Elephas maximus indicus: one gene and its partners. The protein of the gene in region 1 interacts with the protein of each later gene in a biochemical or structural test. Links are inferred from orthologs where the notes say so. Each region holds a gene or a part of one and is shown in the gene's direction. Other genes may lie near its edges.

The links.
Region 2: the proteins of NHERF2 (region 1) and ABCC4 form a complex in vitro, tested with the Homo sapiens proteins (2 studies listed by BioGRID and IntAct, with this or other methods). The link is inferred for Elephas maximus indicus from reciprocal best matches to the Homo sapiens genes NHERF2 and ABCC4.
Region 3: the proteins of NHERF2 (region 1) and KCNJ1 form a complex in vitro, tested with the Homo sapiens proteins (2 studies listed by BioGRID and IntAct, with this or other methods). The link is inferred for Elephas maximus indicus from reciprocal best matches to the Homo sapiens genes NHERF2 and KCNJ1.
Region 4: the proteins of NHERF2 (region 1) and SLC9A3 form a complex in vitro, tested with the Homo sapiens proteins (2 studies listed by BioGRID and IntAct, with this or other methods). The link is inferred for Elephas maximus indicus from reciprocal best matches to the Homo sapiens genes NHERF2 and SLC9A3.

Annotation. Positions count from the first base shown.
Region 1 is NC_064830.1:59,124,220-59,131,981, forward strand, and holds the start of NHERF2 (Na(+)/H(+) exchange regulatory cofactor NHE-RF2), read left to right. Parts: upstream 1-4,750; 5' UTR 4,751-4,913; coding exon 4,914-5,126; intron 5,127-7,332; coding exon 7,333-7,533; intron 7,534-7,663; exon of another isoform or gene 7,664-7,762.
Region 2 is NC_064832.1:89,849,398-89,856,871, reverse strand, and holds the start of ABCC4 (ATP-binding cassette sub-family C member 4), read left to right. Parts: upstream 1-4,465; 5' UTR 4,466-4,721; coding exon 4,722-4,795; intron 4,796-7,474. UniProt on the Homo sapiens protein: ATP-dependent transporter of the ATP-binding cassette (ABC) family that actively extrudes physiological compounds and xenobiotics from cells.
Region 3 is NC_064835.1:32,677,849-32,685,335, reverse strand, and holds the start of KCNJ1 (ATP-sensitive inward rectifier potassium channel 1), read left to right. Parts: upstream 1-4,477; 5' UTR 4,478-4,547; intron 4,548-7,487. UniProt on the Homo sapiens protein: Inward rectifier potassium channels are characterized by a greater tendency to allow potassium to flow into the cell rather than out of it.
Region 4 is NC_064820.1:582,654-590,481, reverse strand, and holds the start of SLC9A3 (sodium/hydrogen exchanger 3), read left to right. Parts: upstream 1-4,812; coding exon 4,813-5,017; intron 5,018-7,828. UniProt on the Homo sapiens protein: Plasma membrane Na(+)/H(+) antiporter. Exchanges intracellular H(+) ions for extracellular Na(+) in 1:1 stoichiometry, playing a key role in salt and fluid absorption and pH homeostasis.

The DNA of each region.
Region 1 (7,762 bases):
ATGCAACCCGGCGCATTTCTACCCTTCCACCCTGGGGGCGAGGCAGCAGAGGGTGCTCAGCCCCCTCCCCAGGGCCCTCCGCTGTTCTTTCTAGAGCCTTCGGAGAGACGCCCCTCGCCCAGCCACTGTCGGGGCAGCGAGCGGCCTTCGCTGGTCCCCGCCTAGTCCCGGGGCCACCCTGAAAGCAGCTCCTGCCCGCAGCGCTCCCACGCCTAACCCCGGAGGAGTCGATGCAGCTGCTAGAGCGCGCAGCTGTGCCCAGGGCAGTCGTCTCGTCAATAAACCCCGCCTGGTTTCCGCGCCCCTGCGTGTGACCATTTTTCTCCGCGCTGTGAACTTTGTCATCTAGGTCTGGGGCAGAAGCAGCCGCTCCCACGCCCTGGCAAATGTCAGAAGCCCCTTCTCTGGCTGCAGGAAGCCCCAACCACCCAGCGGCCGAGATCCACATATCCTGAGGGGGGGCAAGGGAGGGGCAGGGACGCTGCCGGAAACTGGGCTCCTTCTTCTGCCAGTGCTGCTTCCTGTTCAGGGGTTGGGGTCCCCAGGCCAGGTGCCAGGGTATCCGGGGGAGAGTTGGCCCCACGTGGAGAGGAGCAAGACAGACCCTGGGCCCTACTGCCATCCACTGAGGTGTACCGGAGGAGAAGGTGGGAACTCATACCGCTGAGCCGGACCCCCTCACCCACAGCTCCCAGCTGCCTTACAGCTCCGACCTCAAGCCCAGGCAGCCCAACCAGACTTTCCTGCTCTCTCCTGCGTTCATTTCATAGCTGGCTCTCTATGCCTCCCCTCCACCCCCCGCGACCCGCTCTCCTCATTCACTATGGTTTCCTCCTTCGCGACCCCTCCCCCCCCGGTTCGTATATCCTCCTGAATTGTCTCCTCCCCCCACAGGGTTTCAGCTCCAGCCTGCCTCAAGCGTCTGGGCCCCTCCCCCCCTCCTCCCTCTTTAACCGTCTTAAATCTGGCTTCTGACTCCACCCAACTGTCCTGGACCTCGAACTGCCCGGGTCACGGTGCCCAGATTTCAGGGGGCATTGAGGTACTCCAGCCTAGAGAGGTTGGTGCCAGGTGCAGGGGGGGCAGAGAGGATTAGGGGCCAGGCAGAGGTCCCTTTGTGCCCCATGACACCCCATATGGCCCTGAAGCCCAACTAGTCTTAGGGAGCCGGTCTCACCCCAATTTCCAGCCCTAGGACGGGACCCAGGACAGCCCTTGGACGGTGCAATCCCGCCCAGAGCCGAAAGGTGGCGCTGCGCGGTTGCTGTTCCCGGAGACGGCGGTGGGAGGGGCTAGGGGCGGGGCCAGAGCGGGTGGGCGAGGCAGGGCTACCCAGGCCACCTTGGCCGCTGGTCCCCTCTACCCTAGCGCCGCTTCTGCCTCTTTTCTGACCCTCCTCTCTGTTTGGTCCTTGCTGCATCTCCCTTTCTCTCTCTCGTCTCTGTTAATACCATCGCGTTGGCCCCGCCTGCTCCAATTTCGGGCTCTAAAAAGTGCCCCAGGGCCCGGGGTAGTCTGATGAAGGAGGCCCTAAACAAGGCTTGGTTATTCTACTGGGGCCATTAGTTCCCATCGGGGCGGCAGCGCCCTTCGGGAAGCTCTGGGGCATTTATTGGGGCGTCAAACTAATGGCTCCGCTCTCCAGCCAGGGCCCCCAACCCTCTTCAGGCAGTGACCAGGCCTCTGCCCACCCCGCAGCCACACCCGAGTCCCCACCCGGGCCTCAGGCTCCGCTCCATTGCTGGGCGGGCAGTTGCAAAAGGGATGTAGGTTCAATGCTCAGAGGAAAGTTCCCTGCCCCAGGATTGGAGGGCCTACGGTCCAGCACAGGGGCAGACTTCACTGCAGGTGGATCCTCCCAAAGCCCAGAGGAGGGAAGGGACAGAAACATGTGACAGCTTGGGCATGCAGGTGGCAGGGTGGTGTGGGTGGATGGTCAACAACAAGGTCTCTGACCACCTCTCACCTGACCCTCTTTCTGCCTGCTGCTGGCCTGGGGGGCTAGGCCACACTCTCTCACAGCCAGCAAAGTAGAGCCCACTTTCTGCAGGATCCCTGCCCCATGGCCAGATGGCGCTGACCCAGGGTCTCCCAGCCCTCTCCCTTGCCCCATGCCCTGCAACCCCAAAGAGCTGCGGCCCCTCAGCACCTGAGTTCATACTGTTCCCTTTCTCTGCTGCCACCACAGTGGACCACTGTGCCTAGGGACAGCCCCGGAGCAAGGCTGGGGGTGGCAGCCTGGGGAGGGGTGGCCCACGAGAGCCACTGGGCCACCTTTCCTCATCTTTGCTACTGGGGGACCTCCCAGCTTACTCATCTCTCCTGCACTTAGTCCTGCTTAAAAAAAAACAAAAACAAAAAACATTGCCATCGAATCAATTCCGACTCATAGGTTTCCAAGGCTGTAAATCTTTATGGAAGCAGACTGCCACTTCTTTCTCCTGAGGAGCAGCTGGTGGGTTCGGGCACTGACCTTTTGGATAGCAGCTGAGCGCTTAACCACTGCACCACCAGGGCTCCTCTTATTCGTGCTAAAAAAACAAAAACAAAAACAAACCTGTTGCTGTGGAGTCTACACCCCTTGAAATTCTTACCCTGGTTCCTCTCTTGCTGGAGGAGCCCACCACCTTTGTTCTCCACTGCCTTTGTTACTCTGATGTTGCATTTGTTACTCCCATTTGTTACTGGGTTACTTTCCTGAGTACTTTCGCAGCTTCTTTTTTCTTTGGAGCCACCTTTGCTAAGCTAGGACTTCAGTGTTCCTTTGATACTTCCTGGGTTCCTAGCCCTCTGCTGTGACCACATGCTCCTAGTTACTGTTGTGTCCAAACTCTCCTCGCTGTTCCATCCTCTGTCTTGGCGGGTGTGTGTGTAGGGTGTGGGGGGGGGTGGGGAACAGCTGAGTACTGGGCTGCAGAAGGCCAGGGAGGGCCTCAAGTCTGGGCTATGAGAGTGTGCTCCACAGAGGGGGGTTCCCCAAGCCCCCAACCCAGGTGATTAGGTGCCCCTATCTTCCCCAGCCCCTGGCTTGGGGTCCCCCAACCATCCACCTCCCCTGCCACCACTGTGGCTCTGCAGCTACAACCTGGCAAGTCCTGGGGGTCCTGGTTGCACAGGTATGGCATATGGCAGGCCTGCACCCAGCTGCACAGCCTCCCAGGGAAGCAGTGCCAGTGAGGCTGGGCCCAGAGAGGATGAGTCACAGGCAAGGTGAGGAGACACAGCCTCTGGAGAGGCAGACAGTGGCCAGCCAGGTCTGAGCCTCTAGTAGCATTAGCTGGAACTGCAGAGGAGGCGTGAGGGAGCAACTATGCAGCCTAAGTGGCTTTTAGGGGCAACAGCTGGGGTGTGGGCACCCAGGGAGTCTTGGCCCAGGATGCTGCTCAGGGGTAGGCCCTGTGCTCAGGCAGGGCCTGGAGAGCCAAGGCCGAGGGCACTGGAAGGAGGCGAGGGAGTTGCTAGGATCAGGCTGAGTCTACTACGGCTCCCCCATGGGGAACTGGCTGGGCTGGATGTGCCTGACCCCCAGGAACCAGGTATGTGCAGGGGTCAGCAGGGATGGGGAGAGACAGGCCCGGGGGGCAGAGGGTCAGCCTGGGACTCAGCTGTCTTCCTGCCTTGGAGACTGCAAAAGGGCCCCACAGTAGAGTGTGAACTCTGGAACGTCACAACCCTAGACCCAAGCTGGTCTGGGTTTCCTGACCAGTAAAATGGCCCAGCTCCTAGGGTTGTTACAGGTAAGATGCACACAGCATCTGGTCCCCAGAGAGGCAGAACAGAAGCATAAGTGATTCTCCATAATGTTTATTGTCTGTCTGGGGGAAGTGGGGCTGGGAGGGAGGCCCGCAGGGGCCAGTTCAATGTGGAACAGCCCCTGTGCATACTGACCGCAGCTGTGTCTGAAGCACAGTGCATCCCAGGCAGGAAGAGGGTGGCACAAGACCTCTCCATGGTGTTACCCTCCCCACACCTTTTCCCAGCCAGCAACTGCAAAGACATGGTCCAGGCCTGGGGCCCCTGAGATGACACCAGTGAGGGACCCCAGCAGAGGGAGGGGTCAGGGAAGGGGGTTGTTTAACTGACACACAGCACAGATAGTACACTTCCTGGGAGGGTCAGGAGTGCCCCATCCCCTGACTAGTAGGTGTGGGGAGGGCCACAGCCATGCAGCTTTTTGAGCCCCTCTGTTGGCCTCCTGGCCCACCCTGGGCTGCAGGGGGAGCAGCTCTGGGTGAGAGAAAGGTTCAGAGACAGGAGGAGCAGGCAGCAGGGCAAGTGCTGGGGGAGAGGGTGGTGGAGACGGGAAAGCCCTTGTTTTTACCCATCGGCCCCTGTGTGGGGTCCCTGGGCCTGGGGACCGACCCTCTCTATACCCACTTCACCCACTGGAGAGCCTGCTTTGGTGCCATGCGTGCAGTACCCATTGCCATCGAGTCGATTCCAACTCAAAGCAACCCTATAGGACAGAGTAGAACTACCTCATAGAGTTTCCAAGGAGCCTGGTGCAGTTGAACTGCTGACCTTTTGGTTAGCAAGCATAGCGCTCAACCACTATGCCACAGTAGGTACTCAATAAATGATCCAGGAATAGGAGGCACTGGCGCCGAGGAGGCTGCCCAGATTGAGGCTGAGACAGTGGGAGCCTCCGAGGTCTGCCGGCCCGGCAGCCCTGCCTCTCGGTCAGCGGGGACTTCGGTCGGGGGGCGGGGGCCGACGGCAGAGGGGCGGGGACGGGGCGGGCGAGGGGCGGTACCGCAGCCTGAGTCCGAGCCGGAGTCCGAGGCAACTGGAGCGAAGCAGGGCCGCCGCCGAGATCGCCGGTCCCCGCAGCCGCCTCCTCCGCGCCGCCCCCCGCGTCCCGCATTGTGGGCGGCGGGCAGTGAGCCGAGCCCCGCGTCCCAGCGCCCTCCGCCATGGCTGGGCCCGCGCCGCTGCGGCCGCGCTTGTGCCGCCTAGTGCGCGGCGAGCTGGGCTACGGCTTCCACCTGCACGGCGAGAAGGGCCGCCGCGGGCAGTTCGTGCGGCGCGTGGAGCCCGGCTCTCCAGCCGAGGCGGCCGCGCTGCGCGCCGGGGACCGCCTGATCGAGGTCAACGGCGTCAACGTGGAAGGCGAGACGCACCACCAGGTGGGTTTCCCCTGCCGGGCCCCCTTCCCGGCGCGCCCCTGCCCCGCAAGGCCGGGGCTTGGGGCCCGGAGGGGGTCGCGCAGGCCTGCAGGGCCCGGTGGTGGTGGGGGGGAGATATGGGGACGCGCCACGGAGGCAGCGCCCGCCTCCTTCCCAGCCACCCACCGAGGAAGCTTGTCCTGCACCGTGGGGTTGGGGGGGGCATCCTGGCAGGCAGGGGCCCGCACTGCGGCTCCAGCTGCTCTGGAGGCTCATTTTGGCCTCAGCGCCCACGATGAGGGATGGTGCACCTTGGGGGGGTTTGTGAATGCCCGAAAGTAGAGACCCTGGGTGTTCTTCTATGAATGTGTGTACATACGGTTGGGTGTGTGTGTGACTGTGCAGGGCCCTGTGGGGTCACCCGTGTGTGCACACATCTGCCTGTGTGTGTACCTGGTGGGGGGGGGTCACGGTAAGGGCTAGTGGGTATATGAATACACCTGTGTGTGCCTGTATCGTTGTGTATATCTATGTGCATGTGTGTGTACCCAGCTCTGTGTATGTGTGTGTACATTCTGCACATTTGGGTGTGTGTGTGACCTGGGCTTTGAGTGTATGAACTGGTCTGAATATGCGTGTGTGTGTATAAGTATGTATGTGTGTGCACTTGGTTGTGTCTGTATGTGTGTTCAAGTCTACATCTGGGTGTATGTGAGCTGGGCTGTGTGTGTCTGTGCGCATACAAGTCTGTATCTGGGGGTGTGTCTGAGCTGGGCTGTGGGTGTGAGCTGGGCTGAGTGTGTCTGTGTACATACAGGTTTACTTCTGGGTGTTTGTGAGCTGGCCAGCCCCTGGGCCCAGAGACAAACAAGTGGGTTCTTGGCTGGGCCAGGAGCTGAACTGCTTCTACCTCAGGGCCCTTTTCTGTCCATCTGTCTGCTGTCCTGACTTCCAGCCAGAGTGTCAAATGGATAAGGCTGTTTGCTGAAGGAGGGTGGGCATCAGAGGCTGGAGGGTTTGGCCTGACAAGCTGGAGGGCAGGGTAGCTAGCAGAGCTGGTGGCTGGCCTCTGTTTACCAGCTGCCACCACCCTCACCCCAAGACTGCCAGCTTATCGCAGGCCTTCCAGGGTGCTAATCTCTAAGAACACCCCCCACAGAACGAGGGACCCTTCCAACTGCCCTCCGAGGCGCAGGAGTGGGGGAGGTGCTGTGATGGTTCCCCTTTTACAGATGAAGAGACTGATGCTTGCAGGTGTGGGTGTCTCGTCCAGGTCACACAGGGAGCAGCAGGGTCTTGGGGTACCAGCAGCTCTCTAGATCATGGGGAGAAAGGAGGGAGAAGATGGGCCTGGGCCAGACCCTCCTATCTGTTGACAACATTGCCCAGCAGCTGAGGGAGAGGCCCTCCACCCTCCCCAGGACATGTGGCCTGGGTGGGGTTGTGGCCCCATTTTGTAGTGGACACTGGGCCTTCCCCCTGTGGCCACACCCTGGCGTACACACCCCATGCTGCCCACATGCCCCAGGCTCGTACACAGGCATGCACACAGGCCCACACTCAGCCACAACACCACACCTGGCCCACAGGTGGATCTGCCTCTCCCTGCATCCACCTGCCGGGGCTGATCTCTGACCAGACACCATGTGTGTGGTGTCTGAGCCTCGCCCAGATGGGAGTGGGGACCTTGTCACCTCTCTGCAGCCTTCAAGAACAGATCCAAGTTCTTGGTTTGGAGGTGAACAGAGACCTAGAGGCAGGCAGAGACTTAGATGCCCACTTTCCACAGCCAAGAAAGACAGAAATGGGCACAGATGCACCCAGACAGGGGCCCAGGAGACACCTTTTCCTCTCTCCTACCCAAACTGTGAGACAGACCCCAAGACAGATGATCGCACGCATGTGAACACACACACATGCACGTGTACATGCACACATATACAGATGTGCACCAGCTCTCACCCCCAGACTGACTCATGCAGCTGGCTGCCCCCTGCAGCCTCCTCCTGCTAGGACCCTGCGGCCCTTGCAGCCTGGGCCAAGGTGCTGGGAGTCCTGGGAGAAGAAGGGAGGGCACTGCTAGAGCTGGGGGTGGGGGGTGGGGCCACGGGCCTCTAGGTCCAGCCACCCACCCCCTCTGGCCCAGCCAGCCCTGGGTGGTCTTGCCGTCCATGTGTGGCCCCAGGGTGTTGACTGCTGACCTAGTCCCACCATCCACCTGTCCCAGGTGGTACAGAGGATCAAGGCCGTGGAGGGGCAGACGCAGCTGCTGGTGGTGGACAAGGAGACGGATGAGGAGCTGCGCCGGCGGCAGCTTACCTGCACGGAGGAGATGGCCCAGCAGGGGCTGCCACCCACCCACGACCCCTGGGAGCCGAAGCAAGACTGGGTGGCTGCAGGCAATCTGGGCTCCGAGGCTGGCGGGAAGGTATGGTGGGCTCTGCCCACAGGATTTGCCTCGGCCTCTTGTCTGCACCTCTGCTTCTGGTCACGCCTGAGGCCTCCTCCTGGGGCTTTTCAGCCTCTCAGGGCCCCTGGCTTCTTCTCCTGGTGATCTCCGTGTTGGCCACTCAGGCCCACTCTTCCTGCCCTCTGCCTGTGTTCTAAACTGGGTGAGGTCGGGGCAGCATGGCCCCTGTGTCACTGTCCCCCTGTAT
Region 2 (7,474 bases), on another chromosome or scaffold:
TTGTGTTTAATCACTGTCTCTACATCTTCACATGCCATTCTCTCCTCGACACACTTGGATAGGGTTTCTATATCCCCCTCTTTAAAATAAAGAGAGCTAGTGGTGCAGTGGTTAAGGCTCTCGGGTGCCAACCGAAAGATCAGTGGTTCGAAACCACCAGCGGCTCCATGGGAGAAAGATGTGGCAGTCTGCTTCCACAGAGATTTACAGCCTTGGAAACCCTATGGGGTCGCTATGAGCTGGAATCAACTTATGGCAATGGGGTTGCTCTTTAAAATACTGCCTTGGTTAATTCACCAAAGACTCCCCCCCGCCGCCACCTTGCCAAATCCAATGGTTGCTCTTCTGTCTTCAATTTACTAGCCTCTCAGAAACACACACACAAAAAAAAAAAACCAAACCAGGCAGTGTTTTGTTCTGTTGTGCATGGGGTTGCTATGCATCAGAACTGATTTGAGGGCACCTAACAGCAACAGTATGTTAAAAAAAAAAAAATCTTTCCAAACTTGATCGGTAAAATGGATGTTTTAATTTGCCTGTAATTTTATCTGTTCTTTTTCTAGATAGTGAACTCACTGGAGGCAGAGACTTCATTGCTCTAAAAAAAAACCCAAAAAAACCTGTTGCTGTCAACTCCCCACAGGGTTTCCGAGGAGCTGTTGGTGGATTCAAACCACCAACTTTTTAGCTTTTGGTTAGCAGCTTTGGTGTGATGGATTGTGTGTGGCCTTTCTCACCATGGTCCCAGGTGACTGGGCAGGACTATGCGAATAGGGTAATTTTAACTCATCAAAGGGATTGATCAGTTTTGGCATCCCACTGGGCTTAAAAAGACAGCCAATTCCAGAAAAGAGGATCCCACCACCACCAAGGAAGAACAGCCAGGGGCAGACAGCATGACCTTTGGACTCGAGATCCCTGTGCTGAGAAGCTCCTGGAACCACGAGACAGAGAGAGAAGCAGTGGCAGAGAAACGGTGGCAAGAGCCCAGAAGGAGTGAGAAAGCTGAGTGCCTTTGGGGAGGAGCCTTGCTGGCAGAGTAGAGTGCCTCTGGGTGCTTACTGGCAGAGCTAAGAGAGCTTTGTAACACTTGCCGGAGCAGGGCAGAGGCCTAGGGGCAGAGAGAGGTGTGCCTGCGAGCACAGCTAAAAAGAGGCTGTCCTGATGGAAGACCTGTACCCTCAGTGTTCTTCAGCTTGAATTGTAACCTGTTATTTCAAACTCTTAACCACTGTGCCACCGGGCTCCAGCGTAAGCTCCGGTACCCTTTCTAACATTGTGTCTTTGACTGTCAGACAAGGTAGCATTCTCTCTTTGTGCCTTGCTTGGGCCTTTCCCTCTATGTGGGACTACGTCCTCAACCCTCTTGACTCGTGCCCACCAGGTGATGTTCTGATTCTTCAAGACCTGTTTTAGACGCCACTTCCTCTAACTGCCCTAGCCACCTTCCTCCCCTTTCTCCAGCATCCCATGCATTCATTTAATGTAATACTCATACTGGACGATGGCTGCTGTGTGCACATCTCTCTCCGCACCTCAGTCCTGGATGCTGAATTACCTAATTCACCTAGAATCACCTAGGAGCTTTTAGAAAGTACCAATGCCCAGGCCACTCCCCAAAACAAATGAAACAGAACATTGTGAGCAATGCAAGGGCAGATGTTGCGTTTATTCATCTAAATGTCAACAGGTGGCATACAGTAGGTGTCATGGATTGACCCAGAAACGTATGTATTAACTTGGTTAGCCCATGATTCCCAGTATTCTGTGGTTATCCTCCATTTTGTGATTGTAATTTTACATTAAAGAGGATTAGGGTGGGATTGTAACACCACCCTTACTAAGGTCACATCCCTGATCCAATGTAAAGGGAGTTTCCCTGGGGTGTGGCCTATACCACCTCTTATGTTTCAAGAGATGAAAGGGAAGCTAGCAGAGAGCTGGGGACCTCATACTACCAAGAAAGCAGCGCCGCGGGGAGCAGGGCACATCCTCTGGACCTGAGGTTTCTGCACTAAGATGCTCCCAGACCAAGGGAAGACTGATGACAAGGACCTTCCTCCAGAGCTGACAGAGAGAGAAAGCCTTCTCCTAGAGCTGGCACCCTGAATTCGGACTTGTAGCCCACTGGACTGTGAGAGGATAAACTTCTTTGTTAGAGCCATCCATGTGTGGTATTTCTGTGACGGCAGCACTAGATGACTAAGACAGTAGGTATAATACGAACATCTAAAATTTATTGAACCTTGACATTTTTAAACTGCTTTATTGAAATATAATTCACATAAATCAATAAAGTCATTTAAAGCATTTTTTTTTTAGCAGTCAGGGTTGTGCAACCATCACCATAATCTAATTTTAGAACACTTTGATCTCCCCCAAAAGAAGTCCTGTACCCATTAGTGGTCGCTCTCCCTTCCCCCAATTGCTCCTCTTCCCCAGCCCCAGGCAGCCACTAATCTACATTCATCTCTATAGATTTGTCTGTCCTGGACATTTCATTTACCATATTGTTACACAAATAACATGCACATCATCTGGAAACCCTGGTGGTGTAATGGTTAAGTGCTATGGCCGCTAACCAGAAGGTTAGCAGTTCGAATCCACCAGATGCTCCTTGGAAACTCTATGGGGCAGTTCTACTCTGTCCTGTAGGGTCGCTATGAATCGGAATCAACTTGACAGCAACGGGTTTGGTTTTTTTTGGTCACCCATCATCTGCTTCAAAAATTATCAACATTTTGTCATCCTTATACAACTTTTAAAAAATGTTTGCATACTCTATGGCCTCCTTTAAAAACCATTATTAATAAGATTATTTTAATAAAGGTACATGGAAAATTTTTGAATAATAAAATGATCTTGCTTTAAGCACCATGAACTTATAACGTGATTTTTCTTCATTGGGGTTAAAGAGGTTAGGTGGGGACATAAATAACTTAAGACGTAAGAGTGGGAAAGGAGCCCTGGCGGCGCAGTGGTTAAAGCAATTGACTGCTAACTGAAAGGTCTGCGGTTGCCAGCCACTCCGTGGGAGAAAGGTGTGGCAGTTTGCTTCTGTGGAGATTTATGGCCTTGGAAAGCCTATAGTCACTAGGAGTCAGAATTGACTTAATGGCAACGGGGTTGGTTTTTGGTTTATGGGTGGGAGTTCAAAAGCTGGGATATGATTTTGTTCATTCATGCCTACACTCATTCATTCAAGCAGTGTATTCTGGGCACTTGTTGTCCACACCGATCATCCACCCGTGCGTGTGACCAAGCTGAGACTCAGACTTGAGTCTAAATTGGGTTTCCTCATTTACTGACTCTTGAGGCCTTTTAAGGTCGCTCGGTGGCTCTAATGGTTTGCCCTCAATTACTAACCTGAAAGATTGGCGTTGGAGCCCATCCAGTGGTGCCTCAGAAAAAAGGCCTGGTGATCTGCTTCACGGAAGACGGCGGCCAAGAAAACCCTGTGGAGCAGTTCTACTCCCTAACACACGGACCGCCATGACTCGGAATTCAACCACGACTTCTTTTTTAGACCTTGGAGCGGTTGTCTTTTTGAGCCTCGCCTTCCTCATTTGTAAAAGGATAATAATACCTTCTTCAATAGGTCTTTGTTAGCTAAAACGAGGTAAGGTACCCACAAATATGCATTACCGGTACTCTATGACGTACGTTGTTTTTGCCACTGTTTCTCCGCCAGGCTGTGACGACCCGGTGAAAGAAATCCTAGGACAGTGTCTCTCTCCTCATACCCTCCCTTTCCCAATCTGAGAGGGTAGCAAAAACGTCCCAGAAGTTCACTCTACAATGCTTATGAGATCTCAAAAGCCCGCCCTCAAGGACAGCATTTATTCATTTTCCTAATTGACGGGCGGGAACCTAACAACAACAAATCTTAAACCACCCGCATTTCTTCAAGTCTTGCAGCTCAACAAAGAGAATCTGTGCTAAACCCTGCTGTTGTCCAAGGTCAAAAAGTTGGCCGGCAGATTTGGAAAACCTCCCACAGCGCCCTTGTTTGGTCCCGACGAAGGCAAGGCGCCCAGCGGCCCGGCTGCTAAAGCTGGCAGCTGTCTCCCGTTCTTCTGCGCCCTGCAGCCCAGGGGGCGCTTCCGAGAAGCGGGGGAGGGCAGCCAGCGCCTCCCTCGCTACCTGCCGTGCCGGGGCCTTGGCTCTGATCTTTAACTACCGCAAAGTTTGCAGTCAGGTCCCAACACGTGGGTGCCTCGGCCTGGCCCGGCCTCCGAGGCCCGGCTGGTGGCGCCGGCTTCTCCGCCCCGAGGGGTCCGCCTAACCTCCTCCATCCAGCGGCACCGCCTCGCTCCTCCTCGCCTCCCACCTGCGCGCGAACCCCACGGCTGCGCCCTGGGACTCGCACCCCTGCCCTCCCGGGAGGCGGGAGACCCGCAGCCAGCCCCCTCCGCCGGCCACCCCGCTGCCCCCCGGGCGCGCTCGCGGCGTCCCCGGGCCCCAGGCGACGGCGCGCGGCTGGCCCCCCCAACTCGGCGGCCCCGGGAAGACGCGCGGCCCGGGAGGCGGGGACTGGGCGTGCCGCCGGCGTCCGGCTTCCGGAAGCGGGTGTTCCTCGGGCTCTCGCCTAGCGGACCCGCGCGGCGTCCGGAGCTGCAGCATCCCCGCCGGCGCCTCCAGGAGCTGCGGTAGCCGCGACCGCCGCCTCCACAGCGCGACCCCGGCCCGCGACGCTCTCCTGCCCGCCCCCGGCCCCCACGATGCTGCCAGTGTACCAGGCGGTGAAGCCCAATCCGCTGCAGGACGCGAACCTCTGCTCGCGCGTGTTCTTCTGGTGAGCACCCTGGGTGCCGCGCCTCCGCCGGCACTGGACACCTACTGCCTCTGGTCCCCGAGGGCGCGATCCGGCCCGCCCTCCACCACCCGTCCCTTGGTCCTTCGGCCGCTGCCGTCCCCGTCAGCTCCCTCCCGGGCTTGTGCCTGATGCCGCCGGTGCCTTATGGGGTTGGGTGGCCGGAGCGGTTTCCGCCTGTGCCCATCGGTCCACGCTGGGGCTTCTTGCCACGGTGGGGCCGCCGCATGGGCCTTCACGGCCAGCCGCGTGGTGCCTGCCTGCGCCCCAGCGCGCGCGGTCGGCGGCTGCGGGGACCTTGGGGCGCAGGGCACGTGCGCGCCTCCCTGCCCTGCTGAGGGATCTCGCGGGCCCCACCCGCCTTTGGTCCCGGGGGAGAGGAGCCGGAGGCGGAGAACTGAGACTGGCAAAAGGTGGACTCACTCCCCAGGGGACAGCGTCCGGAATCCCCCAATTCCCACCTTTAGCTGGCTTCCCACGCACCGCGCAGGGATTCTCAGTCCTCCTACATGAAAACCGCACTTTTTTCCTCTTTGTGAACGCCAGTTCATGGACAGCGTCCTTTATCCTTTATCTAACCTGATCCAAAGCCATCTCCCAAAAGTCCCCCACCCTTTCCTCTGTACCTTACGTGACAGCTGCATTCCAACTCCCGGGAGCTCCTGCTGTGTGTCTTCTCTATGACCATGTCTTTCTCCGTGTGTGTGTGTGTGTGTATGTGTGTATGTGTAGTGGCACGTAGTTAAGGCAAATTTCGTGTGGATAAAATAACATTTTTAAAATTATTTAATGAATGGAAATCCTTGAACAAAATCAGCTTCCACACTTTGCTTTTGACTGGGACACCCACAGGCAAGGCCGGTGGATGTCTTTGACCAGCTCCTCTCCCTATTGCCAGTGCTTTCGCTTCCACCTGTGAGGACTACTCTGGGGATGGAGTCCCTGAGGCCTTGTGGAAGGAGATGTTATCGGGATCTCTACCTCTCAGAGATGCGGTCCTTGGCCCTGATGCAGGTAGTTCTGTCAAGGAATCTTAGGTCCTAAAACCACTTAGTGGTCACCTCCTCCCTCTTTCGTGAAGAAACACTCAGGTGAAGCAACGTGCAAAGTGCCCAGAGGGATGAAGCGTCTTAACGAAGGGTTTCTAGCTAGTGCCTGTGACTGTTAAATAGGTGGGCCTGAGCCTTTGTGTTTTAATCACACTCGGTTGATAATTAGACCTATTGTTTCTTGATCTCTCTGCCCTTTAATCTTTTCCACATATTCTGATGATTAAACTCCCCCCACCCCGCCTTTAATGGAAAAAACCCAGGAGATCCCAAGGGATTGAGTGCTTGTACTCTTGTTTTAATTGTAGTTTATTCAGTCTTCAGGGACACCTCTTGTCTGTTGGGTGGCAGGAGGAAGGAATATGGGTGTGGTTACCATAAATAACCTGAAGGTAAACGGCGGTGGGTCTCCTGAACTTCAGGCAGGGCAATAAACTCTTGAAGCACTTCCGATTTGTGGATTTTCAGGGCGGAACTGAAGAGTTGAAGGAAATTGGAAGATAATGAACGACTGGTGCCCATTTCTGGTTTCCCTGCTGGGTGTGTGGGGAGGGGAGTTACCTCTATTTTACATGTGAAAATACTGAATTACAGAGGTTGAATAAGTTGCTTAGGACCGCAGAGTTAGTAACGATCTTAAAAAAAGCAAAAACAACCTGTTGATTGTGAGTCAATTCCAGCTCATTGTGACCTTAAAGCATAGAGTAGAACTGCCCCATAGGGGTTCCAAGGAGCAGTTAATGGATTTGAATTGCTGACCTTTTGGTTAGTAGCCGAGCTTTTAACCACTGTGCCACCAGGGTTGCAGGAATGGTCTGCTGCTGCCGTCGAGCAGGATGCAAAGCCAGGCAGTCTGGCTCCAGAGCCGCTGTTGTGACTGTTGTACTGTGTAGCTTCTCCAGGGTTGTTGTTGTTGCTCGCTGCTGTTTCTTTGGCCCTGACTCATGGCAGCCCCCATGCACAACAGGATGAAACACTGCCCAGTCCTCATGATCCCTGCCGCTCAGAAAGTTGCGATCTGTAGGGTTTTCTTTGCGTGATTTTTGGAAATAGATCGTCAAGCTTTCCTCCTAGCTTGGAAGCTCCACTGACTGAGGGGTGGTGGTGTGCATCGGCTGGCAACGTCACCAGGTCTCCCGCCGGGCAGGTGAGAATCGCACCACTGCCCCACCACTGCCCCACCTGCACGTGTGTTGTTGTTAGTTCCTGTGGAGTTGATGTGGACTCACGGCAACCCCATGTGTGCAGGGTAGAACTGCTCCGTAGGGTAGTCAAGGCTGTGACCTTTTGGAGGCAGATCACTACTTGTCTTCCAAGGAGCCTCTGGCTGGGTTTGAACCGCCAACCTTTTGGCTAGTAGTTGAGCCCTTAACCATTTGCACCACCCGAATGCATGGGGAAGGCTATTTGAACATATCTTTGCATTTTTCTTTTTTCCCTTGGGGAAAGAGCAGAAATGGTTTTGTATTGGAAACTTCCAACTTGTACCCTTAGGTTTTAGAACTCAGAAAATGGAAGTAACTCTAAGTAAATGAATATGTGACAAATCTCTGGAAATCCATAGGTTTTTTTTTTTTCCCTTCCAGAATTACTTTTGAATTCTTTTACAATG
Region 3 (7,487 bases), on another chromosome or scaffold:
TCAGCTTTGTTGTTGTTGTTATTAGTTGTCATTGAACCGATTCCAGCTCATGACGACACTATGTGTGCATAGTAGAACTGCCCCATACGGTTTTCACGGCTGTGACCTTTTGGAAGATCCAAGATGCCTCTGGGTGGGATCGAACCGCTAACCTTTTGGCTAATAGTCAGCTTTAGACACCAGCTATTAACTTCCCATTAAAAAAAAAAAAATTTTTTTTTTTTTTTTAGTGAATATGGGAACTCAGTTCTCCTCCCACCCCCACCTTCACAACCCCTGGCCGCCCCACATGCGAGTGCCCTTCCCGTGTCCTGTTCTCCCACTAGTTATGTCATGATTTTGGTTGGAAAAATATTCAGTGTTAATATTATTGTGTCTATAAACTTCTATTCATAGCTGATCCATGTAGCAAATCAGATTACTTTTTCTTTCCTGCACAACTTTTTGTTTTCCCTGGAGTAGGGAACTGTCTTGGTTTTGTGTTGGCTTGGTTTTCTTTGCTCTCATCACGGAGATAAATGAGAATTTCCACCGCAGTGTAAATCTCGTCTCACGATGTCCAGATGTTCACGTCATCTTCTTGGAGCGAGCTCCCCTCGCCTCTGCCCTCCCCTGATCTGGGTTGGTTGCCCCTTTGCCTGGTGCAGTGGGCCTTGCGGGGGGCGGGGGGGCGGGGGTCCTTGGCTCCTCCCACATTGCATTCCCGATTTCCTGTATCCTATGTCTTTTTTTTTTCCCCCTTGGTTTACTCTCTCATTTTGGAGGAGCACATTCTTCAGTTAACTTCCTGAGAAAGAGCGTTTGAGGTTAAAATTTTTTCGAGATTGAATATCTGAAAAGATCTCTATTCTACATGATTGACACCTTGGCCAGGTATAGAATTTTAAATTGGAAACCAGTTTCCTTCAGAATGCTGAAGGGATTTCCTCATTTTCCTCCACATTTCAATGATGCTGGTGAGAAGTCAAAGGTAGTTACATTCCTGATCGTCTTATGTGTCCTCGTCTTCCTGAAAACTAGCAGGGTCTTCTCTCTGTTCCTACTGTTCTGAAACTTCGCAGTGATGTGACCTGGTGTGGGACGATTCTCATCTGTTGTGTTGGGAATTAGGTAGCCTTTCTGGGAATCTTTTTTTTTTCTTTTTTTTTTGCAATGTTTCTTGGATGATTTCCTTCTTACTTTCTCCATTGTCTTGGTCCATAATTCTGATCACTTAGGATGTTAGGCCTCAGAAATTTCTCATTTTATTATCTTTTCTCTCCTAATTTCCACTTCTTTGTATTTTTGCTCTATGTTCTGGTAGATTTCCTCAACGTTTTCTCTCAGCCCTTCTGTGGAGTTTCTTGTTTCTGCTATCATATTTTAGTTGCCAAGGGCCCTCCCCCTTTTTTATTCTGTGAAAGGTCATTTTTTTTTTTTATAACATCCTTTCTATTTGTAGTTTTATTCCTGCGTAGCATCTGTCTATTCCACCAAGTTGCTTTTTTTATATATATAATTTTTATTGTGCTTTAAGTGAAAGTTTACAAATCAAGTCAGTCTCTCACACAAAAATCTGTATGCACCTTGCTACATACTCCCAATTGCTCTCGCCCTAATGAGGCAGCCCACTCCCTCCCTCCACTCTCTCTTTTCATGTCCATTTTGCCAGCTTCTAACCCCCTCTACCCTCTCATCTCCTCTCCAGGCAGGAGATGCCAACATAGTCTCAAATGTCCACCTGATCTGAACTAGATGGTACCTGGCTACAACCGATGACTGCCCCAACAGGGAATACAACAGAGAACTCCTCAGGGAGCAGGAGAGCAGTGGGATGCAGACCCCAAATTCTCTTGAAAAGACCAGACTTAATGGTCTGAGACTAGAAGGACCTCAGTGGTCATGGCCCCCAGACCTTCTGCTGGCTCAGGACAGGAACCATTCCCAAAGCCAAGTTGCTTTTTTATGTTTGTTTTATCTCTGGGGAAACCCTGGTGGCGTAGTGGTTAAGTGCTACGGCTGCTAACCAAAGGGTCGGCAATTCGAATCTGCCAGGTTCTCCTTGGAAACTCTGTGGGGTAGTTCTACTCTGTTGTATAGGGTTGCTATGAGTTGGAATCGGCTCCACGGCACTGGGTTTGGTTTTATGGTTTTTTAGCTCTGGCTTTCCTCAGATGGAGCTCTGGTAGCATGGTGGTTAAGAGCTCAGCTGCTAACCAAAAGGATGGCAGTTCGAATCCATCAGCTGCTCCTTAGAAACCCTATGTGGCAGTTCTACTCTCCTAGAGGGTCGCTGTGAGTCACAATCCACTTGAGGGCAATGGGTTTATGGGTTTCCTCAGATATTGGTAATCTGGTAAGAGGACTCTCTGGGCAGGTGGATGGGGCTTGACAACTATCAGGCTCTCTGTAGAAAGCTCTGGCTGCGCTATTTAACTGCAGGCACCCCTGATATCAATAACTTTAGGTTCTTCCTTTTGGGCTAGTCAAATTTCCCAGGAACAGCTCTTTCAACCTCCCTCTTGGGGAGTCAAGGTCTGGCTGCCAGCGTTCCAGAATCAAGTGAGAGAAGACAGCCGTGGATCTTGACATCCAGTATGGATATGCTTGCATATTCCTCCTTGTTTTAGAAATACGATAACTTCATCCTTAATGGTGCCTGTGTCCCTTAGTCCAGAGGACTTATGTTTTACCTCCTCCAGAGAAGAAGTCTCTAGCTGACTGTCAGAAAGAGACAGGAGAAGTTTCTTGCTTAAGCTGAGACAGGGAATGGATCTGCAGACCTAACTACCGTACTTCCTAAGCAGACTCTCAGCCAATTCTCCTTTTCTCAGCTTCCTCTTTCACCCCCACAGCCAGAGGCAGACAGTGCTACCAACATGTCTCCCTTTTGGGATTCTGAGGTGTACACTGTGCTGGCTCCTTGCTTTATCCTGTGCAAGCGTAGAGTATACCTGCTTTCTGGTTTGTCAAATATTGCTGTTATTTCCTCTCCAGTTCTTTTTATCCTTGAGGGTTTATGTGTTCCTTAAAATGGTGGTTTTATTGAGATTTAGAGGAGAGCAAACATAAGCAGCCATTTAACTCACTATTGTTACACTCAAGTCATTCATTCCTTTTTAAATCACTCATTTACAAACATTGGTTGACCCTTTACTATGCAATAGGCTCCGTGCTAGGTTCTAGGCATGCAGTGATGAGTAAAGGCATGTTCACTGCGTCAAGGACCTCTAACCTAGTGTAGTAACAGGTAAATGAACACTTATATCAACTTATATAAAAAGGTGACATAGCCAGTGGTGATGGTTGGGTGTCTCTATGGAGGTCAAGTTGGCTATCTTCTGAGATCCCAGAAGATGACATTACTTATTTCCTCTGCCAAGCCTTGCAAGTTCAGAAATCTGATCTTCAGTATGCCCATCTCCTCAAATATCCATCTCTCATGATTAGAGTCTAGCTTCCTATGTCTAGATGAGAATGCTAATTCATTAATTTATAGTGAGAGCCAGCACTGGGCTGGGAACTAGAAGAGGCATGCAATCATGATCAGCATAACTATCTCTCTTAGAGCGAGAGTCCCAGATGGGAAGTCAGGGAGTCAAACGATGATGGAGCATTGTCCAATGATCCCCGAATCCAACAAGAGGTGTGGATTACAGGAGGACTGGAAGGGTTTTGGTCTTAGCTATTGAATGATAATGAAGGTCATGTTCAATGGGATTAGACTATTTAAGTTGACTGAATGAGCCTTGTTTTTACCTGCAAAGTGCCAGATTCCTGGGGCAAATTTTTTCTCCACACACATCAGCTCACCCTTGAGTGAAGGCACAGAGGGTTTGGGCTTTTTCTAGAAGGGGCTGATGCCTTCTCAGCTGCTCCAGCCCTTTCTTGACACCCTGGCAGTGTGACTTTATAGTGTCAGAGAGGCATGAGTTGCTTTCAGGGGATATTGTCACTTCCTGGATGGGAGCTTCTGAGCGAGAGGTCCTAAGTCCCTCTGCTGGTGGACACACCTGCTGGAGTTGAGGAATCGCATGAGATGTCGGTTGAGCTCTAGAGGGTCACAGGAAAAGACCAGCCTACCTCCTTTTAAATAACATCAGAAAATACACTTTGGGCAACTGTTACCAGAGAATGACTTTCTCCTCATCTCCAGAGACCCTGGCAGTTGTTAGCATCAGGGCCCTTCTTCAGAGGGAAAAACCAAGCCCCAAAGCTGCCAGTGTGAGAAGGGCCCAGATGGGACCTCCCTCTTGAGAGAGTTCACAGGGCACGACTTGTGGTCAAAGCTCAGAGGGGTGGGGTGGCCTTTAGTGGCTTCTGCTCAGCGGGCCCGGGAGGATGAGGCAAGGTGGGGGTCTGTTGCACAAGGGGGGTGGGGTGGGGTTGTGACTTGCATGTTGCCAGTGTAGCCTGACGGGCTCTTGGCCTGTCCTGTTAGTCGACTGAAATAAGAGAGATGCCACGCCACCAGTTGCAAGAGAAACAGAAAGTGGAAATTTATTGTTTGTGCAAACAAGGCGCAACATGGGGCCTAGCAGCCAAAAGACCCCATGTTCCCTGTCTTGGTGAGTTGGGGAGATTTCATTTCTAATGGTGTCTGGGGGTTGGGTTTGGTGCCCGGAACTCTCCGCCCTTAGCCCTCCCATGTCCACATTTGGACGTCTGGATGTTGAATCATGTTGGTGATGTTCAGGCCCAAGGACAGCTTGAGGACACAGCTCTTCAGGTCCTGTGCATGCACCAAAATCCTAGTTTGCACATGCGCGGAATTCTGGCACCAGATTCAAACTGCTGTTAGGGCTGCAGCCTGATCGGGCCAAACAGAAGTTAGAAGCTTCGGCTTTGCGGGCAGTGAGGGGATGGGGGAACCTCTGTGGGGGTGGGGGTGGGGGAGGACGTCTCCGAGGGGACTTCACCCATACGCCTTCTGGTTCTGGACACCAGGGCCAAGAAGACTGGATTATTCACCTGACTGGAAGCTGGGGCCTGGGGTCATTCCCCTCCCTTCTCTAGGGTACTTTCCTTTGTTTCACTGATCAGGTAAGACCAAATGTTCATGAAAGTGCCTCGCAAAGGGCCAGGAGGAAGCTGTAACAAAGCGCCTCATAGAGTTTACTTAGCTCAGTGTTGGGATTCTTTTGCCTAAGGGTGGATGCATCTCAGCCCAAGCCCAGGTCAGACCATGTGAGTGCTCTCCAACCCTCAAAGAGCATCCCAGCCACCCAGCTTCGCCACCCTGTAGCCCTCATGATGGCAGGAGCCACCGTAGACAAGTTTCGTTACCTCCCTGTTACAGCTAGGGGGAAGCATGATGTTGTCACCACTGTGCATGGGTGATAGGCTTAGAATTAAAACAAGGATTTCCTAGTACCTGGTAATATTTGATTTTAGTATTATGCATAAAAATTATAATCGCAAGCAATGTTTATTTAGCATTTGGCAGTTGCAAGGCACTTTCACACACTGTTGTGCAAGGCAAAGGTAGTCTGTCCCTGTTTTAATCTAGGACGCTGAGACTTGGAGAGGTTATGCAACTAACCCAAGGTCATATTGCTAGGAAGTGCCAGGGACAGGCCTCAAACCTGGATTTTCTGACTCCAAGTTCAGTGTTTTTCCTACTTCCCAAGCTCCCTGAGGCTATCACCCTGAAATCCAGGGCCATTATTCTACAGCACGCTCCCTCCCCTGAATGAAATGTTCATTACCCAGGACCATAAGGTTTGCTCTACAGAGTGTGAGTTCTTGAGCAGTCTGGGGATGCCTGGGGCTGGTGGTGTGTCCTGCAGGCACTGTAGGTACCAAGAACTGTCCCATGTCCTTGCTGTGGATGGATCTCCCAGGGACTCGGTGAGAAAAGGGGCTGGGGAGGGAGGCGGGTCACCAAGGCAGAAAAACCTGCTCACATTAGCTAATGTGGCTGAAGGCACAACCCTCAAGGTCGTGGCCTGGCCCATGGCACTTGTACTCTACAATTGAGGAAGCTGGCAATTTCCAGGGCCGGGGTTTGTGTGCTGGAGTCAAGAAGCTGATCTCATGAATATGTGAGCTTGGGCAAAGGGACCTGCCCAGCATCCGTGCAGGGGGGATTTGCTGCCTGCCCACCCCTCCCGCCCTTCCCCCCAGCACTTGGTAAGCACAGAGGGACCAGTTGGCTACCTGTGAATGTATGTATTATGTGTCTCAACTTCTGATTTCATGGGAACAAATATGAGGTAACCAGGGATCTGGAACGAAGTGTCAGAGACACTGAAAGGAAAACCCTAGAAAACTGCAGGCCAATACTGCTGCAATGTGGAACTAGGAGTCCCTCTTGAGCCCTTCATTCCAGCTTTCCAAAAGTCACCAGCATGACTCTTGGGCCCAACACACTGCCAACCCCATTCCAGACCTCCTCCCCAAACCAGAAAAGCAGGGATGAGCAGGCTGCTCACTCATCCCTTCCTTCTTTTGGGGGAGGGGAGGTGGGAAGAGGGGGTTCCAGCTGAAACTTTGTTCTCCGTGGAGTTTAGGAAGGTTGGGCTAACTGAGGCCCTGTGGGTGGTCCTTGGAGGTCTATTGGCTGCCAGGGAGATTTTAGCCCTCTGGTGGGGAGGGCTACCTGAGGGAAGAGAATCAGCCAGACCAGCTTCATCAGGTAGCGACCTTTGGTCTTTAGAATGGAAGGGGATTCTGAGCACAGGGTGGAGGGGGCCACTCAGCTTTGCCCTGAACACAGCCCCCATGGAGGTGGGAGGAGTCTTAGTCCTGGCGCTGTAGTCCTGGTCATTCTCCTGTGTATCAACACTCCAAAAATGAGAAGTGTCTCCTTTGCTCACTTGGCCACACCCCGGCACAGCAAGGGACTTCTGTGGTTCTTGGTAGCCCCAGGGGAACATGTAGGGGTGCTCTGTGGCTGTGCCATCACCATGGGGGTGCCGGGCCAGGAAAAAGGAATCAACTGTAAGGTGCCCCATGGCAACTCGAGCCTTGATCTTGAGCACGTGTGAGTCACCTCCCAGGACTCCTGCAAAAAGCTGTTTTTTTGTGGGGGGGCACTTCTCAGGGCAACAGACATCCTACATTAGCAGATTATACAAGGCCAAGGAAAGAAGAAACAATTTCAGTCATCTGTTCGTTCGTGTGGACAAGGCATCACCCTTTGTGACTTTAGAGCTTTGGTGGACACAGAGGTGACTGGACAATGTGCCTGTCTTCTGGGAACTTATGAGCTGTGCTCACAGATAACAGAAGGGCCCAGAAGGTGCTGCGGGAGTCGTGGGGAGAAGCCATGGCTGCTGACTTAGGGAAGCCAGGGGAGACAGCCATAGGGAGAGAGCTCCTGGCCTCCCCTCCAGTGTCTGTGGAAAGATTAGGGGCCAGGGAAGTGGTGAAGCTGACTCTTCTGGGGTTTGTGGGCTGTTTTCTTGCCTATTTGTACTCATTACATCAGTCTACCAGACAACTATCTGCCTGAAGCCCTAAGGTGCCCTATATATAATTCAACCTTTCCCAAAGAACTTTTTAAT
Region 4 (7,828 bases), on another chromosome or scaffold:
CCAGGCATGCAGTGAGGGAGGCCCCAGGAGCAAGTGGGAGTCTAGAGGAATGCACGAGAGTCCGGCGGCGGCCCTGGGTGCTGGGGCGTAAGCAGGGATCCCGGGGCCCTAGGGTAGAGCGAGGGAACCCGTCTTTGCTGAAAGGCTCGCTGCGAATGCGAGGAGGGAGACTACAGGCCTCGGGCTGTGCCTGGAGGACAAGGGCCTTTTTCAGGGGTGAGAGGAGGGGGTGCAGGTCGGAGGCTCTCAGACTAGGGGCCTTGCAGAGATGCCAAGGAGACGCTGGTTGTGCGGCCCTGGCGCTGGGGTGCAGCCCTGAGTAGGGGACCTCCGGAAGGCGCCCTGACTCTAGAAGGGAGGAGCCGAGCCGGAGACCCGGCGGAGGAGGGGTCCGGACACCAGGGAGAGTGGGACCCACCGAGGGGCTGCCTGTGCCTGGGGCTGCGAGGATGTGGCCAGGGGGTCTGCAGGGCCTCGGTGGGCTGAGGCGGAACCCAAGGAGGGGCAGGAGGGGGGCGGGGTCAAGGTGGGGCGGGAGGGGGCGTTAGAATGCAGAAAGGAGACAAAGACCTGAAGCGGGAGACCCCGCGGGAAGTGAAAAGCAGATGGGAGGCCACGGCCAGGAGTCCTTGCAGTTCCCGAAGGGGGAGCGGGGCGGAGCCGCGCTCGGAAGCGGCGCCCTGGCCCACAGAGTTCCGAGCACTGCCCCTCTTGCGGGAAGGCGGGGGGCAAGACCCGCGGCGGCGCCCTGCCCACGCCGGGTCCCTGTCCAGGTCTCCACGCCCACGGCCCCCCCCTCCCCGCCCGGCGCGGACGGACCCAGCGAGCGGCTACCGGGACTGTGCGCGACTGTGCCCAGGCTCCGTCCAGGCCGCCTTGCTCCCGGCACCCCTCCCCGCGGTCCCCCCGCCCCGCCGCCTCCTCCCAGGAGCGGCCCCCTTCCGGCTCTGGATGCCCCCGCCCTCGGATAACCTGGCTGGTGGCGATTTCGGGAAATCTGACTCCGACCCAGGCCTCCCCGGATCCGGATCCGGGGTGTCAGTCCGGCGACCCCGTGGCGGCGGAGGCTCGGGTCTGCCGGTCCAGGCGGCATGTCCTGGGTGACGAGGTAAGAGATGAGAGGCTGGAAATGTCCGAAGCCCTGCTCGGAATGAGACCTTCCCGCCCAGTCTGGCCACGGGCTGACTCAGGGCGTCCTTCCCAAACCCCACAGGGCTCCGCCAGACCCTCCTGCCCTGCAAGCCTGGGTTCTGGATGGATCAGAAGCCTGTCCCTGAAGCAAAAAGTACAGGTCCCCCTGTCCCACCCGAGGACGCCCTTGGCAGAGGCATCTCACACCCCCTGGGAAAGGGGCCGACAGGCAGGCCCTGGCAGAGCCGACAATTCGTTTTGAGAAGCGCAGTTTTCTTCTAGCAATCTAACAAGAACCCGTGAACATGCCATCAAGGTGATGTGTGCAGAAGTGATTTCAAGTTCAGGCGTTGAAGGTTAGCTCCAAGAGAGACTTTTTCTCGGTGCCTAGATAGAACCTGGCACCCACGGACACCCATGGATGGATGGAGAAAAGGGAGTCGTGGAATGACTGGCTTTGAGCGTGATGAACCCGGGTCCCTTCCCTCTCAATAAGGGCACTGTGTGCCACTTTGGGTTTAAAAGTAAACCCTTTGTAGATGCAGGTGACAAGGGCCTTCCCCTAAAAGCATGGCAGTGAAGTTATTACCTCAGCCCTTGTTCTTGTCCAAAAAAAAAAAAAGTGTAAATTGCTTCTAAACCTTTTGCCTCTTTATTCACTAGGTGATTTTCACAAACCACATGAATGAAATTCACAACCAGAAATTAGTGTGATGGACTAGGTGTTTCCCTCCTGTGTTTTCTTAATTTTGAACTTGAGGTGCTTGCAGCAGGTTAGGTAGGTTGCAGTTCTTTGGCGCTGGTTATTTGCAAAATGTAGGTTGTAAGGCATGGCCTTTCCTGTGTGTGCAGGCGGCTCCATAGTGGCAATGATTGGGGCAGCTATCAGATCACCACACATCATCAGGGGCCTGAGGACACTTACCAAGACCCCCCCCCACCCCCACCTCTAGATGTGTCCAGCGCAGTGTGGACTGCACAGCACACACCTCCAGGGGTGCCGTGCACACAGTCTGTAGACACAGGTAGTGGCCCTGCCTACAACCATGACCTGAGCCTTCCAGCAACCTTGGAGCACGGGTGCCCACCGCTCTACAAATGCACAGAGAACCTGCCAAACAGCCTGGCTCCTCACCCTGATGGTGAGCCGTGGGCAGAGAGGTGCACATCACATGCTGTTAGGGGCCTGTTCCCTTCTTCCCTCCATAGGTGTGCCTTTCCCTTGTCCTCAGGAAGCCTGTGCCCTGCATCAGTGTCCACTCCAAATCCACAGATCCACGTGCCAATGTGCTGCTCCTCTGCCCTTTGAACTGCTTCAGGGGACTCTCAGAAGTAGCCCCTCCCGGGAGGAGGGCCAAGGAGCTCAGGACAGGTTGACTTAGTAGAAAAGAAGCCCGGTGGGTGGTGGTGGGACCGGAGGATCACTGGTGTCTCAGCACACACTTCTGAGAATTGGGCCTTCCTGTGGAATTCCAAGACAGCATCTTCAAAGAGGACATTCCTCCAAGGCTTTGCCCAGAAATGGTCAGAAAGAGCAGGGAAGTGTGTCGGGGCTGGAGGTGACCCTGCTCTGCCCCTGGATGTCTGGTGGCTGTTTCTCTGGGACAGGAGGCAGAGAACGGAGCCAGGCAGAGGCAGGTTCAGCATGGACACTTGTGGGCTGGGCAGCCCTCCACAGCCATGCCACGCCATGCTTCCCTAGCACCCAGGGACCCTGTGCTTAGCTTCCAGGAAGGGCTGCTTCCTGGGTGCTCCAGTTAGCCTCACTTTCCTTCTACAAGGCCGGGTTCCTGGCAGCTGCCAGGGACCCTGGGGCCCCAGCAGAGGTTCTGCAGCTGGAAGAGACTCCGAGGACGCCCGTGAAGACTGAGCCTGTCTGTGGCATCCTCCCAAATAGTCACCAGCTTCACCCAGTGCCCAGCCACCCATCCCCCACCTGAATCCATCCTCTCTATACACTTCCACCTCCCCTCAGCATGAGTGCAAGAACAGTCATCTGGGCCAGCACTGCCCTTCTTGGGGCCTGGTAGCCCCTTCTCATACTCAAATTTTAGAGGTTGTATCCACCCCATCACTCTCCCCCTGCTTCCCTCCCTCCAGCCAACCAGCCAGCCAGCCAGGCAGCCATCCACAAACCTTTCCAGCATGCGCTGTGTGCCATGCACTGCTCTAGGCATTGGGGAGATAGCAGAGAGTCCCCACGGAACCCCCCTCGGGCAGGGACATGGAGAAGGGGGACAGTAAGGAGAGTTGGAGCAACGGCACCTCAGGAGGAGAGCCTGCTGTGGAGGGAAAGAAGCAGGGAGGGGCTGGAGTGTTTAAACTGAGCCATAGAAAGGAAGGGCCTTCCCAGAGAGGGAAAAGCACCGGCAAAGGCCCCAATGGGGAGTATGGGGTGAGCTGGGGGCTGGGGGTGGGGAGGAGGCCAGAGGGGCTGATCTGGGAGGGCTTGGCGTCAGGGAAGGACAGGATATGGGCTTTGCTCTGAGTTGCAAGGTTCACAGTGCCGATGGGACCACTTGGAGGGGGGCAGGAGGAAGGGGGCACAGCCCGGAGGCCTTTGCCCGCTGACCGGGGTGGTGAGCAGGGGTCGGGTTTTAGACCTGTACTGAGGAATGTCGAGGATTAGAACGCAGCGTGAGAAAAGAGGACAGGTCCAGCAGGCCTCCACATTGGGGCGGGACAGCTGGCGGGACAAGCTGCCCTGCCCTGGCCGGTCGGCCTAGGGAGGTGAGGAGCGGGACTGGCCTGCGAGGCCAACGGGGCTGCGAGTGGAGCAGCACGGGGCTCAGGTGGGTCTCCGCCGGGGTGTGCCCGGGTGGAGAGGACTCGACTCGTGGTGCTCGGGGTTTGGGCAGGTGGGGTGCGCCGGCGGCCCCAGGAGGGACCCTCAGAGGGGCCAGGCTGGGGTGGCCGTCCGCGAGGCGGGGCAGAGGGAGTCGCTGCTGCACCATCCAAGTCTGGGTGGTGGCCCTTCGTTTTTGAGAAGTTGGTGGACGGTGTTCTGAGACATGCGTTAGGGTTGTCGTGTTTAAGATAAAGCGCGCGACTTGCGACCAGCATCCTTCTGGACGCTTCACCCTCGAGCCTCTCGTGGGACTGTGTCCAGGAGTTCCCGCCGCGGCGACGGAGGCGGAGCGTCTTGGGCGAGTGTGCCCAGGGATGCCCCGGGCTGAGCTAAGTCCCCGAGGGGCGCCCCCTCGCTCGGCAGCCTAGGTCGCAGCGACCCCGGTCCGGCCGGACCCGTTACACACGCAGCTGCGCTCTGACCCCAGCGGAGGCGGCCCCCTAGTCCCCGCGGCTCCTGCCCAGCTCGCCCCTCACCGCCCGGCCTGCGGGCCTCGGGCCCGCGCTGTCCCTGCCTCCAGCTCCGGGGGCGGGCGACGGGGGACTTGGGCGGGCGCGCGCAGGCCGGACGGGGAGGGGGGGAGCGAGGTGAGAGTGAGGGGCGGGGCTGACGGCCGAGGGCGGTGCGGTGTCCGCCCTGCGTGTGCACTGCATGGGCGGGAAGGTCCCGCCCCGGGCGCAGGAGGGGGCCTCCAGATAAAGGGCTCCCGGCCGGGCCGGGAAGGTGACAGCCGCCAGTCCCGGAGCGCGCTCGGCTCCGCTCCGCTGGTCCTGCCAAGCGCAGCAGGACGTCCCCGTGACATGCGCGTGCGGACCCGGTGCTGAGCGGTGGCGATGGCGGTGCGCGGGGTCCCGGGCCCCGGCTGGGGGCTGCTGCTGGCGCTGGCGCTGGGCGGGCTGCCGCGGGCGCGGGGTGCCGAGGAGCCTGGGGCGCAGGGCTCCATCGAGGGCTTCCAGGTGGTCACCTTCAAGTGGCACCACGTCCAGGACCCGTACATCATCGCACTCTGGATCCTCGTGGCCAGCCTGGCCAAGATCGGTAAGCTCCCCTTTCCGAGGACTCTCCTCGCTCCGCTTGTGAGGGTCTCCGCTACCCTACCCGGCGGACGGACGGACAGGGACCGACCAACTGCCTGCTGGGCACGCAGCGGACAGAGCTGGGCGCCAGCGTTCGAATTTGCCTCCCAGCCCCTGCCGCGTCCGCCGGCTTCCCTGAGAGATGCGCGCTCCCAGCGTCGCTGGCCGCCGCGGTCGGGTCGGAGGTGCGCCGCAGCCGGGCTCAGGAGTCGGGCTCTTGGAGCAGGCAGGGCGAGGTTTGGAGTGGCCGTGCAGATCGCTACTGGTCGCCCCCTCCCTCACTGGGCCCGGTGCACCTCCGACGTCGCCGGCTCTCCGCAGTCGGTCTTGGGCGCCTAGCGTCTGCGCAGTTCCGCGCCTGGAGCATCCCAGGCTCCTCGCGCTTCAGGGCTCCTGGTCGCCGTATTTTCTGTTGGTCTACTTGGCTTTTTAGTGCACGGAGCCAGGAAGCGTCCTTGCGGTCTGATATTGAAATGACATTTTTGTTTGTTTCCAGTGCAGAAAAGAAGAAAAAACATGCTATTAAAAATAGAAACCCCAATAAAATCCTCCTTGCAGGAACGGTTTTCCTACGGAACGTCTTCTTTCTCTTCTGTAAACTGGTCGGTCTCTTACTTTCATGGCCTCGTGTATTGGTAAAGTGGGGTTCACATGAACTCCTGGGTAAGGTCAGCTCTCTTCAGAGCTTATAGGATCAAAATTCCAACTGGTGACCAACACTGGGGGGGGGGTCCTACTTGGCAGTGGTGTGAGGGGGTTTGTAATTTACTAGGTGGAGGGGGGCAGGGGCAGATTGAAGGGGGATCCTGGGGGCCCCAGTGGCCAAGTCAGACAATGGTATAGCAGTGGGCTTTCAGGGAATTTTGAGAAGTGCTTTTGGAACAGGGAGGGGCAGGGTGAAGAGAAAAGGGTCCTCTGGGGCCTTGGAGGGCCATGATGTCCTTCGCCAAGAAAAGGAAAACAGGGGAGGGCCAGGCTTTGGGGAGATGGGTGGGTTAGAGGACAGTGGGCCTGGTAGGTTTGGGCATACCTGGTGTACCTGGCTGATGGCTGGTTAGGCCCTACTTCCCTTCAGCACTGCCTGGCGTCTGTCCTATTTATGCCAGTGACATCATCTCGCCTTTCCAAATGCCCTTCTTCAGTTCTGCTTTCTGTTTCTTAATAGCTCCCTCAGCCTCCTGGCTCTGCTGCCACCTCCCTGCCTCTCACTCGTTCTCTCCAGCCTGTTTTCAGCCTCCTGACACGGCTGCCCCAGTCTTCCCTCTCTGTCCCCTCTGTGGTGTGAGCCCCTGTGAGCTCCAGGGTCGGGGCCTGGTATGGTGTCACTCTCCTGGGATGGATACCTTGACCACCGGGAATCATTTAATCCGAAGGACTGAAGGGTCAACCTCTTCACCCCACCCTGTCCTGATGATCACGCTGCTGTCCCCTGAACTGACCCTTGTGGGGGCTACCTTCTCTCCCTCTGTAAAACCACAGTGAGGACATGGCATGGGCAGCTTCCCGGGGGCCTCGTGGGAAGTGCTCCGTGCACTATGAAGGCCTCTTTCTTTCCCATCTCTAGGACTTTCCCGGGCACCCCTCCCATGAGCACCTGGAGGCCTCTCCACCGCCTGACCTCCAGTGGCTCGAACCCAGAGCAGAGTGTCCCATAACAACAGGAAATGCTCTTTAACAGCCCCACAGTTCCTCCACCAGACACCCATGGACAAGGGGACCCACACCCTCTGGGGTTAGTGCTAGGGGTACAAAACACCCCTTTTCTGTAAAGTGAGCATGTACTTTCTGCAGAAAATGGGGCCACTTTTGGTTCAGCCCCAGTGTACTGGTGTGGGACCTGGTGAAGGACTGTGCCTGAGTGCCCTGCAGGTCAGCTGGGGGATGCTGTGAGGGGTCACTGGCGACATGTACTTTTTCCCAGGAGCACCCATGGACGTCTGTCTAGGGTTCTGGAGTGCTGGGGTGCAGGCCCCAGCTGCCCTTGGCACCCCAATCCCCTGTTGGTAAGAGAATCACCTTCTCCAAGGTGAGGGGCCGCCAGCCCTGGCCCAGGGACAGACCTCCCGGTTAACAAGATTCTCCAAAACAAGAGCCCCTTCCCAGTTGTTGTTGTTTTACCCAGATGGTTGGCACCCACTCGAGGGGGCAAGAGCTAAGTGCTGGGGGTGGCTTGAGGGGCTCTAAGGACAACATGGGGGGATCTGGGGAGAAGACCCACGTGGGGCTGGCCAAGCTTCCCCTGGAATGCCCTTGGCCCCCTGAGGAGGCCCTGACCACAGGCCTGTTCCCCTACCCCCGACAATCTCCTGGCCTTTGTGGAGGAGCCAGCTTTGGTACATTCAGGATTTGTTGAAAACTCACTTGCTGAACCTTACGGGAACCCTATCCAACTGTCCCTCCTGTGTCCAGAGGTTTCTGCTGGGACATCCCCATCCCCCAACTGGTGCTGCCCAGTGCCTCCCCCATGCCCACCCTTGTGCTCGGCCCCATCCCCCATGTTTGTCCCCACCCCCAATCACCCCTCGCTGGCCTAGCCCCCCCCCCCACACCTTCCCCCTCCCCAGCCTTCCAGGCCTCTGGCTTCCCATGGCTTTTCCTCCATCCCAGGACTCCAGGCCCCAAGGCCCTCCTGGTGAGTCCACATGACCCGCCCCGCCCACTCCTCCTGGAGCCCCCTCCCCTGGCTTCTGCCCTGTCCACGCCCTGTCCCTCAGCCGATCTTCAGCTGTCACGGCTCCTGCCTCCCCAACTCTGATCTCCCTTCGCTCCCTCC